Linked DNA regions of Drosophila melanogaster. The protein of the gene in region 2 purifies or fractionates together with the protein of the main gene of each other region. This does not show direct contact. Each region holds a gene or a part of one and is shown on either strand. Other genes may lie near its edges. The genes, in order: STUB1 and stv.

Region 1 (4,396 bases), on a different chromosome or scaffold from region 2:
GAAAAAAAAAACTATTAACTTTTGATTCTAGGGACCTCTCACAAGCAGGATGACATTGGAGGAAAAGAATTTACGCGAAAACTCAGCGCAGGCGCAGTTAACAGTCGATGGTTTTAAGACTGGTTTCGATATTTAATACTTTAAAAATGTTGAGGATTTATTAATTCAAACTGCAATGAAAAGGTATATTTTTAATAACAATGATAATATATTAAATGCGAGTAGGTGTATATTAATATCTTCTTATTCAGCTTGCAAATCAATCAAATCTAAGTCTATTTCTATAAGCTTTCTTCACATAATCATACTATATATCAAATGGAATACAAAACATATTATATATACATTAATTAAATATAATTTAAATAAATTTTAGAAACTACAGGAACATTGGTATTGGAACAGCATATGTTCCAGCTATCGATATCAGACTTACCTTCACTAACGTAAATAGAATCAATAGTCGCTTAAAAATATTGACATTGCATTTAGTTTTGTCTTGAGTTCTTGATAAAATGGCGAGCAAAAGAAAGCACCAAGCATCCCAGAAAGTGAAAGAGGAATCCTTCAAGAAACACACGCTTGACTCCGATGAAGAGGATTCTGACGACTACGAAAGGTAATGCTTAAAATGTGCAAACAATTGATTGTTTTGATTTCGGCACTTTTTGTTTGCAGGGAATACCTCAATGATAGCGACATTGAGGGCGGCGAGGAGGGCGTGGCAAAAGTGGAAGACGATGTGAAGGTAACACCCTTCAATATGAAGGAAGAACTGGAGGAGGGACACTTCGACAAAGATGGTCACTACCATTGGAACAAGGAGACGGAAGCAAAGGACAATTGGTTGGACAACATAGACTGGGTTAAAGTAAGGATTCCATCACTGCTGCCTGTACACAATCATTTAATTTAAAAGCAATATTTGCCTAACAGATTGGCACACAGAAGAACGCCTTCGACCCGGCAAAAGATGAAGAAAACTCTTCCGATGAGGAGAAGAACGAACCCGTGGGCAAGGCCTTTAACTTGTCCATGAACCTCATGAAAATGGTCGAGTTTATGAAACCGGGAGAGACTGTCAAGATGACCCTGCAGCGTCTGGGTAAGCAGCGCCCCGTCCTAACAACCCTTCAGAGGATTAAGCAGAAAAAGGCCGGCATCGTTGACCCAAAGACACAGGAAATCTCTCAGCTCACCGAGCTGGCCAACGAGATTCTCTCGAAGACGGGCAATATGGATATATATCAGGATACGTACGAAAGCATCAAGGCCAAGATCGCCGATTTGCCAGGAACGAGCAAACCTAAAGTAGCCGATGATATTGATATGTATGCAGATGATTTCGAAACGAAAGAATTGGAGCGCTCTAAGACATCGTCGAGTGATAGCTCCAAACCAACGACGACTACCTCAGAGGTGACCTGGGAGTTTAAATGGTCGCAGGATGAGACTGATATCCAGGGACCCTTTTCCACGGAGAAAATGTTGAAATGGTCCCAGGAGAACTACTTTAAAAACGGAGTCTATGTGCGAAAGTGCGGCGAAAACACAAATTTCTATACAAGCAACCGCATAGATTTCGATTTGTACTTGTAGGCCTTAGTTAACAAATGTTAAATTCTTTGGGTTTTAACATGTTTTCTGCAAATACTTTGTTCTATAATTGTATACTGTATACTTTACAAGAGGTTTCAATTAGTTTGCACTTGGTTTGGACTTAAAATAAAATTCATATTCATATTGATTCTGTCGGCTCTTAAATTTGGTCAGATATACCAAATTATGTATCCGAGTTACTTGCGCTAGTGACGAATAGCGAAAGATTCTTCTATTAGACCCACTAGTTCAGTAAGAGATATCTGATAGTCGAGAAACTCGAAAATGGCACTGTTGTTTTTGAAATGTGCAAACGATAGTGTGGCAAAAGTATCGTTTGGGCGGTGATAGTGCAATCGATGAATGTGCAGCTTTAATTTAAGCTTGTGAGTCTTGGCAACTCTAGAAACACATCGATTAACGTAGCTGAAAATTGTTTTATGTTTAATTAAATACAGGCGAATAGCTCAAGATCTTTTTGGTGTTATGAGCGTTCAAAAGTCACTACCGTTTCCCACTTAATACTTTGTTAACTGTTAAGTTCGTGCAGCAGTTCCCCAATTCTTGCAGAGGAAACAAATTTACGAGTGCTTCGGTGTTGTTGGACACACACTCACTTTTCATCGGTGGAAAATCAAATTTGGGACCAGGCGCAGAAGATTCGTCAGGATGACGACCAAGCACATCTATTCCACGACCAATTTATCAGATCTGCAATTAAAGGAGCAGGGAAACTGCTTGTTTGCAGCCCGAAAATATGACGACGCAATAAATTGCTACTCAAAGGCCATCGTAGGTGTCTCACATATTTTTGTTATTGTGATGTGTATTTTGTTGTTTACATGTGCACTATGCTCCATATAATATGTAGATAAAGAACCCCACAAACGCCACATACTTCACAAACCGAGCCCTCTGCAACCTGAAACTGAAGAGATGGGAACTGTGCTGCCAGGATAGTCGGCGCGCCCTCGACATCGATGGGAATCTGTTGAAGGGTCACTTCTTCCTGGGCCAAGGACTCATGGAAATCGACAACTTTGACGAGGCTATAAAGCACCTTCAACGGGGTTAGATAATACCTGACCTTTGATGTTCTCTACACTAACTAACCATATATGAAACTTATAGCATACGATCTGTCCAAGGAGCAGAAGCAAAACTTTGGGGATGATATTACACTACAGTTGCGACTAGCTCGCAAAAAGCGCTGGAATGTTATGGAGGAGAAGCGAATACAGCAGGAAATCGAGCTGCAAAGCTATTTAAATGGGTAAGATGTTATTCGAATTCTCTAGATGCCTTTTGCAAACTAAATTTAGTCACCGCACGACGATATCGAGGCAATTGTTGTCCTCATGTGATAGAATATATATTAAAAAAAGCGAAATTTGTGCAAAACCTAAATATTTATGTTTCAGTCTAATAAAAGGGGACATGGAAAGCCGTTTGGCCAATTTAAAGCTGAATGGAAATGTACACGATGAGCAGCTGAAAGACAAGCAACAGGAAATTGAGCAAGAATGCGTAAGTTGGACTTTAACCAGAATATTTAGCGGAGTTGACAATCTAATTTTACTTTTTAGGATGACCATATTAAGGAACTTAACAATATATTTTCTAAGGTTGACGAACGTCGAAAGGTAAGAAACTAAAGGAAAAATAACCAATATTAAAAATATTGTTCTAATATTGTTATTTACATATTACAGAAACGTGAAGTTCCCGATTTTCTATGTGGCAAAATAAGTTTTGAAATATTAACAGACCCTGTGATAACTCCATCTGGAATTACGTATGAACGAAAAGATATAGAAGAACACTTGCAGCGGGTTGGACATTTCGATCCTGTGACACGCGTTAAGCTCACTCAGGATCAACTAATACCAAATTTTTCAATGAAGGAAGTGGTTGACTCTTTTATTGCCGAGAATGAATGGTCTTTAGATTATTAAGTTACTTATTAGTTGGCATTGTCATTGTAATTGATTAGATGTTAGAACCCAGTTCCCATTGTCTAAAAACCAGATAAGTGATAATAAATGTGGATCTGCAATTGAGATTTATATTGTAAATGGATAAATTGTAATTATTAATAAATTAAACAGCATAATGTTCAAAATATAAATAAAAAAGCTTTTGCACGATATCGATAGAGAGTTAGCGGTAGTGTGAAAACAATATAGTTTCGATCACCCGTTCCAGTTAGTCAAAAAGTTGGTGATATCTTGACCAAACAAATTATCGATATACAGCTGCTTACAGATTTGCAGAAATCATTTTCAAAGAAATTTGTTTATGTGAATTCACAATTGGATTAACTTCGCTCTTCTTTGTTTAGTATTTATTTAACAATAATATGGATTCGTCTGAAAGCCAATCGCAAATGGATGACCAAGATGCTCGCATACTGCGTCTGCAAAATCTGATCGAAAAGAATATTGAGATAGGTAAGTTAAATCATAAATTACTAATATCTGAAATAACTATATGAATTGCAGAGCAACAAATCGAAAACAACACCATCGGAGAGTCTATCACGGCCATAGAGGAAATCATTCAGACAGCCAACGATATCAGCAAGGGACATGAAGACCGCCGTACAAACTCCACGGAACTTGTCCTGGACACGGAGCTACTGCGTCGCAATTTCGAAGTTGTGGGAAAAGCTATCCAACATAACACCAACGTCACGGATCGAATGGTGGCCACGGCGATCGTAGGTGCACTGTGTACTTTATTTATGCCTGATCGTAATGTTTGATCCTATTACAGAACGATTTGGTTTTCAAAGAGA
Region 2 (7,898 bases):
TAAAAACAAAAATCGCATGTATATATATAATCAGATATAAACGTATACAATTCACTTCTATATCTATACAGAGATGTGCAATATTTAATTATGAATTATTTCCATTTTATATGCCCTGGCGACGCAGTGGTTCGCCCAAACAACGAGAAAGTATTTGGAAAATAAATCTAATGGATAAAGATAGGTGGGCGTGCCGCCGCCGGCCGTCTGATTATATACATTCATACAGACGAGCATGCATATTCTCACAGATCTACAATTGAGGTTAATATACTAATAATGAAACAATTGAGAAACGTTTAAAGAAATCCTATCAGCGAAATGGATACGGAAATGATACAGAATAATTGTAATTATACCAATCGTGCCCCAGCAAAAATATATTTTTAACGATACTTTAATAAAAAAAATATTCTTGGCTAAAGCTTCAAGCAACCGATGATTCAATAAGTTATTTAAGTTATTTGACCTATATTCTGACCAACTTTGTTCTCAAATTAAATTGAATTAAAATTGATTTTTAAGTTTTTATAATTTTGTGATGGTCTCGGAAAACCCATTTTATCCAACCCTATTATGTTGACCAGAGCTGTACGCGTGGGTCACTTCGTGATTCAAAAGAAAATGCTTATGGCGCTGGTTGCTTAGGTGGAGTAAACATTTGGTCCAAACAACTGGCGGTTATCAGCTGATCGTTTTGCAATAACAGTCGACTTGCGAAGACATTCTGTCGCTACTGCACATTGTACATTTGTTTATGGCGAAAACTGAAAAGGTATCAAGTGCGGGGGAGCTGTGGCAACAGATCGTTAGTCATTGATCGATTGATTGGCCGCTCAACAAGACTCCGTCAGTGGGCGATGACAACTGTTTACGCTGCTGATTTTGCCTTCTTTTTGCCTTCGTGTTTGCCTTACTCGTTGCTGCTCTTTGGCGGTTGTGACGCAGTGGTTGTATGTAGGCGGCCCGAAGGCACTGAGATAAAAGAAGATTAATTGAATACTTTTGGTTAAAAATGGCATAATGGACCCGACGGTAATGGTAAGAGAAATACAGATTTTGATTGTCTAAATTAAGCATATTATAACTGATATTATAACTGATGAGCACAACAGTTAGTTTCTGCGTAGGAGTTTGATATTTATATTTTTCCCAATTTTATTCAAGAATTTATAAACCGTTTTTTATATCGCGAAATGGTCATATTCGATAGTTACTACCAACTAGAGTCATTTATCGTGCCAAATTTCCCGCAGTGTGGCTTACGGTTACAGATTTGAATTTTAGAAGCCATGCGACTGCCGAGGAATGCGTTTTAGAGAGCCGCTCTCTTGGCCAACTTTCTATTTATAAGTCTGATGTCTGATCGGTGCACGGAGAGAGAGAGAGTGGGGAGAGCGAGCTGGGGAGAGCGGATCGAGAGAACGGTATCCGTATCCGTAAGATAGTATTAAACATTTACCAATTAAGGTCTGAAACCGCCGGAGAAAAGCCAGGTAGAAGCCAAGCAAAGCTTACCGCGAGAGAAAGATAGAGGGAGGCCGAACGGAGAGCGGATGAGAATCGAGCGGGCGAGAGAGAGGGAGAGAGAGCGCCACAGTGGGGCTGTTGGCAAAGGCAAATTATACGGTAATGGTTAGAAGCAAATGGCGATGGCGCTCAGTCGACGAGCAACTTTGGCAGCGTGAGGACGCCCGTGTGGATGCGTGGCCCCGTAAAAACAACAACAAACAACCGAGTGGCAATGTGCAAAAATAAAAAATCTATATATATTTTAAATTGAATATAGAAATCCGAAAACCCACACTCGCACAAACACTAGCGCAGGGCCAGAGAGCGCGAGCGGAAATACTTAAAAAGCTGAAAAAAGTGGAAGTAAAAAAGTGGCCGTATCGGTGTGCGGCAGCTAGAAAGTGTGGCCAAAAGTGACATCACACTCCGGTCGTTTAGCAAAAAAGCAGCAGCAACAGCAGCAGCAGCAGCACCAACAGCAGCAGCAGGAGCTAAAGCATCAGGAACATACGAGAAGCCCCAATCGAAATCGAGCGGTATTCGCACGCGTCGTCGCTCAAGGTGAGCCCGCGCCCGCACCCCTCCATTAAAAGCCCCCGCCATCCTCGTGCACACCAGCCCGCGTCCAAAAATTAATCTCAACAACTGGCACGACAAGTAGTCGCCGACGAAAAGTCACAGCCAAGTATCAACAAAAGGAAATAAATTAAAAATTGTCGCTACGCAGCGAAACGTCGACGGATTCGATAGCGTTTAGGCCAGCGGTACGAGCGGTACGGATACGGATACGATTGCGATTACGGTTACGGTCTTTTCCTGGCCAGCGAATCATCCATGAAGCCCACTGTGATGGCGGCCAATCAGGCGCAAAGCAATCCCGCCACCGCCGCCGGTAATAATGTCTCACCCGGCGGTCCCGGTGTCAATATACCCGTAAACCGGGAGTACGTGAGTGGCGGCTACGGATCGCCACAGCAGTCGGCACAGTTCCACACTCCCCAAAACGCTTACGGATCGCCCAGGCAGCAGCAGCAGCACTTCCAGCAGCACCAGCAGGTTCCTCCAAATCAGCAGCAGCAACATTTTCAGGTGAGTGGCCCCCAGCGCTTGTCTGTCGAGGGGGGGAGGGGGGCAGGCGGAGAGGGTGGCAGACGAGCGGCAGCGGCGAGAGATCCCAAGGTTGGCGCCTGGCAAGGTCGAACCCCCACCCTCCAGATCTCCCCCGCCCCCAAAAAGCCTCGATCGCATAGCTGGGACATATTCGTATGAGTGTCATGGTTTTTGTTGTTCGCTAGCCGTGTGGCAATTTAAGTACAGTGGGGATTCTAGACGCGGAAACAGTTGGTTTGGAATAATTACAGTGGGTATTGTAGCATGATCTATGTTCAACTTCTACTCAGAAATAGAATAGGAGCTGACTGTGATAACTAAATCGAAATGAAGAGTGATTTAAATATGATAGTCTTGTCTTTAGTTAGTCTGCATCTACTACTACTTTTGTTTTAATTCAACAAAATGTACTTCACAGATACTTATAGGATGGCCAGATTTTTCTAAATACCTTGGGCATTTTCCAAATTACTATTAATGACCGACGAGCTTAACTCTTTGTTTGCGAAATATTCTTGGGTAGGCGATTAAGTTTTATTTATTTTACTGTGCTATGACACAGCGGTTTTTCCATTTGTTTCGCTTTTCGGACTGAATCCTTGGCAATTTCGCATTGCCTTTTAGCGCTATGTAAACTCTCTAAATCGCAATAAGAGTGCGGAACAATGAAAAAGTCAGTGTGGTTGCGTAAAAGCCTCTTCTACTCACCCCTCCACAAAGTGGGTTGCGAGGGAAAATCCAACCCCCTGCAAGTGTGTGTCAAGTGTGTGTGCACACTCTGTTGACCTACTGGGCATAAGCTTGCAGTATCTGCTGGGGGGATGGCCAAGTTTCTGGGCTGATGTCGTGTCAAGCGCTCGTCTAGTGGCCAACGCTGCGTATGATTAATGCCGCAACGCGTGCGGAATTTTACCAGAGACAAGTAATGTACAGCTGTTTCTTTGCGGCCTAATCTAATGGCCAGCAATCCAAATCTATCACGACCAAATCGTAGAAAATATTTGAAAATTTCTAGAAGAAAACACACAAGCTAATGACGCGTTGCTCTGCTGCTAATGCTCTCGTTCTTTCTATTTGGGCGCTGAGAATTGGTCGAATCGAAATAACGCTCTATACTATTGGCCCGCTCTTGATTCTTTAACAAAGTCTGCTGTGCGTGTCTGTGTCTTCCACTGTAGGTGGGCACACCGTACAGTAAACACACAATGGCACTCCATATGTGCGCATATCGGTGGAAGCATGCCAGTTGTCTAATGGGAAGCGTGGGTGGATTTTGGTTGCTCAACATCAACTTGGCCAACGCGGGGGCCTCGGCAATGCGTTGGTGACGTTGACTATATAAAAACGTCATCACCAACTTAACGTACAGTGGGTACGTGCTAAGGTGAACTTTGGACTTTAAACAGATAAAGGTGCCATGATAGCGAGAAGTTTAAGAACTTCTTGTAACCGCAGAAAGGCGTTTTTAAACATATATCTGTTTTACAAAAGGTTTCCCATTTAAAAAAAGCCTTATAAAACCTTAAAAAAATACAAATTTGTATACATACTCGTATATACGACAATTTCTTCAAGTGCGCTTATGTAAGAAAGCCAGTAAATTATCATTAATAATTGAAGGGTATTGTAAAACAATACTAATTGTTGAAGTAAACACACTTATCTTGTCCCTACCGTTCAATTCAGAAAATGTGATACAGTAAAGCCGAATCTTTTATTTCACTGTACTTCCACAAGTCACTTCGGGTAATTGAGTTGAACAGCAGAGAGAGCGTCCTTTTAGGAGAGACTCAAAATCGGTCGTCGAGCCGAACCGAGAACACTCGACTGTCTCAGAAACTACGAGAAGTGGCCAGAATCAGCCAGCGGATTCGAGAGTGGGCGCCATTCGCTTTAAAAGGCCTTCTCGGCCGACGAGTCGCCTCATTCGCACGTAAACAATCGGACGCAGTGCATCACGTCACCAAGCGGAAAAGCATTCAAAAGCTAAAAAGACATTCAGGCTATAGCTAAATACTCGTAAATACACTTGTAGCGAAATAATTGACGAGCAGTGAGCACAGCTCATTGATAAAGTTAACAAATTGAGCAGGCAAAAGGTAAGGTTCCGACATCGACATCGACATCGAGATCCATCCGCTCCCCAACAGCTGTTCATTCAGTGCCAATTGACATCACTTGTTTGCCCACACTCGTACCCAATCTATATGGTTCTGACTCACCCTGTTATTTATAAACAATTCGCCCACCGAGTCGAACAATTTGCACTCCTCTATTGCTACACAGAACAAATACATAGTTGATGTGAAACAGCGATTATTTTATTTAAAATACGATTTTTAACCGGATAAAAGCACTTTTACTTTCAAACCAATATTTGCAACTTAATAAACATGATTTAAATTATAAAAGTAATAACTATTAGAATGTGGTTGCTACCAAAAGAATACCTGCATATTAGAGCTTCTTAGCTAGAATCATTCCGAATTCATTATAATTTAATTATTTATAATTACTCTCTGTTGATAGCAGCCGACCTTTGGATTCGAACCGAACATGGACATGGACAACATGTTCCCGCGCTCGCACCTGGGCAGGATGCACGATCCCTTCGCCGGCTTCGGCGACTCACGTAAGCGGAGCAGTTTGCACGGTCCCAGTGGTCAAGTCCATGCTGATGATGACTTTCCATCCTATTTCGACGATCCAGACTTTGGTTTCCCCCGCTTCTCAACGATGGGCCGCCGAGGTCGAATGGCCGGTGGGGCCAACACTCACATGGACCACGATGATGACTTCTTTAATCGGCTGCCCTCGGAGTTCCGCCAGTATATCCCAGATGGTTTCGGAGGCAGACGTGGTACCGGAGCTGCTCCTGCACCCGGACAAGTTCCACAGCAGCAACAGCCGCAGCCACAGCCGCAGTACACCCAACAGCAACCCCAGACGCACTTCCAGTTCGGTGTGCCGCCCCAGCAACAGCCAGTCTATGCCGGACCAACCCAGCAGCAGGTGCCGCAGACGCCTTCAAAGCGCCTTTGCGATGCTGCCATCCAGACGGAGGATCCTGCCGGTCGCTCGGAGGTTGATTGTGCCCCGCCGACTAACTTGAACCAGCACGGACTGCGAAACACTGTCGACATGGGCGTGAAGAGTGTCGCCGAGCAGGATCAGGGACTGCGATCCCACTCCGCCCCTCCGCCAGAGCAGCAGCAGCAGAATCTGCAGTATCACCAGCAGCAGCAACAGCATCAGCAACCGGGAGTACATAGCCAACCGTTTGGCACCCAGACAAGTCCGCCCGTTCAGGGTCAGCAGTTCAAGACCTACTATGCGCCGCACCAGCAGACGCATCCCCAGCAAAAGCAGCAGACCCCGCCGCCAGCTCCACAGACCCCGGGTGGCACCTATGTGCGCACCATTCCCATCTTTGTTGAGGGTCGCTCCGAGCCCATCATCAATGCCCACAAGGAGATACCGAACCAGAACGCTCCGCCCAGTGCTCAGGCCCAAGCTCAGGCACAGGCATATGCGCAGGCGCAGCCACAGGCACACGCTGCTCCACAGCAGCACAACAGACCGACGCCACTAAACACCCAGGCGCAACCTGAGCAGCAGGTGCCAGTTGAGGGAGCCGCTGGATTGCCGCCACAGACACCACATACCCTCAACTCTATTAACAAAATCCAGGACATTCAGCGCGACGTACTGGAGCTCATGGGCAAGGTGGAGCAGTTCAAGGGAACGCGCGAGGAGAAGGAGTACGCCTACCTGGACGAGATGCTGACCCGCAACCTGCTTAAGCTAGACACCATCGACACAAACGGCAAGGACAGCATTCGTCTGGCCCGAAAGGAGGCTATCAAGTAAGTGACCAGAGTCACCAGAGCTCATTATCGAATTTAATTAATTCAATGATTGTTCCTTGCAGATGCATTCAGGCTTCGATAAATGTGCTGGAGGCCAAGGCCGAGGAGAATGCCAGAGCGGCATCAGGAGCAGCACCTGCACCTAGCGCAACAGCTCCAGCGGTTGACACAGGTGCAGTTGCTGCCTCGGAAGCGGCCGGACAAAATGCGGAGCCAGTGACTCCACAGCCACAGGATGCTACAAAGATGCAGGAACCCATCCCTCTACCAGCACCACCAAATGCTGCTGCCGTCGAGGGCGCAGCTGCTTCGGAAGCCACCGCCGCGGAGGCGACACAGTCCGCCGTTCAGTCGGAGACAACCACAACGACGTCGGAATGATGAACACAGCGCCTCTACAAGGCGACCGTTTCGAAGCAGCTACGCAAATTAACCAAATTTAAGTGACAACAGGCGGAGGATAGAGAAGAGTTCCGATCCCGACTCATCAACGGACAGCGACAGACTTGATTTTACTGAATTCAAAGTAAATGTGAAAGTGAATTTGATGTGTAATGTGAATGTGAATAGGAGGAGCTGGCGACGAATCTTTGCTAGTATTTCGTAGAAGCACAACCGTACTATCTAAACATATGCAAATCTCACGTGTCAACCACTCAACACCCACTCATCCCCACACATCATAACACACACACACACACACACACACCACACAGCGTAGATTATAGGCTAGTAAGAGAATTAATATTGAGAAAATGTGCCTGCATAGAATTCGGAAGTTAACAGAGCGAAAACGATTTGGCAACAAGGGTTGCTTCACTTAAAAGAGCTGATTATGTTTAAGCGATAGATGATCACCATGAGGATATTTTTGAACCTGAGTCCAGTTTTTATACGTAAATTGTACCGATGAGCAGCAACAGGGGCAGCAAGCCGCCGTATGATCTCATACAAATCTACAGCAGACGCGCTTGCTTGCCACAGGCCAACTCATCCATCCAATCACGCCGAGTGCACCACTCACGGCTTTGCTGCAGGTGAATTGTTAAACGAACGTAAACTCTTATAGAAAAAAAAAAAAAACTATGATAACTATTTATGCTACTAATTAATGCGAAAATAAATGTAGATATTGTTGACCATAAAACTGTGTTATCCTTCGGTTGCACAATTATCAAAGTTTATTATCGAAAAGGTTATAAATCTCGATCAATAATACATATACAAAAGAACCCTGGATCGGGAATGGAGCGGGCCTTAAATACTGACTAAGTGGTTACTTTGTATGTATCCTAAGAACATTTTAAAAGGACGCAACACGGCTTCGGCAATCGAGGCCAAACAATGATATAATATGTATACAAATGGGAACAACGTATGATAGGGTTGCATATGTGGCATGGATTA

The links.
Region 1: the proteins of stv (region 2) and STUB1 purify together in Drosophila melanogaster (affinity purification with western blotting, with the first as the bait; one study listed by BioGRID). This does not show direct contact.

What each region holds. Positions count from the first base shown.
Region 1 is NT_033779.5:10,435,571-10,439,966, forward strand, and holds STUB1 (STIP1 homology and U-box containing protein 1), read left to right. Parts: upstream 1-1,977; 5' UTR 1,978-2,268; coding exon 2,269-2,391; intron 2,392-2,470; coding exon 2,471-2,669; intron 2,670-2,730; coding exon 2,731-2,872; intron 2,873-3,020; coding exon 3,021-3,126; intron 3,127-3,185; coding exon 3,186-3,242; intron 3,243-3,311; coding exon 3,312-3,554; 3' UTR 3,555-3,670; downstream 3,671-4,396. Other genes in the region: holn1 (hole-in-one), read left to right, coding at 516-619, 679-871, 937-1,599; Nse4 (Non-SMC element 4), read left to right, coding at 3,959-4,049, 4,101-4,318, 4,375-4,396.
Region 2 is NT_037436.4:13,475,882-13,483,779, forward strand, and holds stv (starvin), read left to right. Parts: upstream 1-1,659; 5' UTR 1,660-2,346; coding exon 2,347-2,601; intron 2,602-4,562; exon of another isoform or gene 4,563-4,721; intron 4,722-4,882; exon of another isoform or gene 4,883-5,033; intron 5,034-5,151; coding exon of another isoform or gene 5,152-5,154; coding exon 5,155-6,488; intron 6,489-6,553; coding exon 6,554-6,872; 3' UTR 6,873-7,634; downstream 7,635-7,898.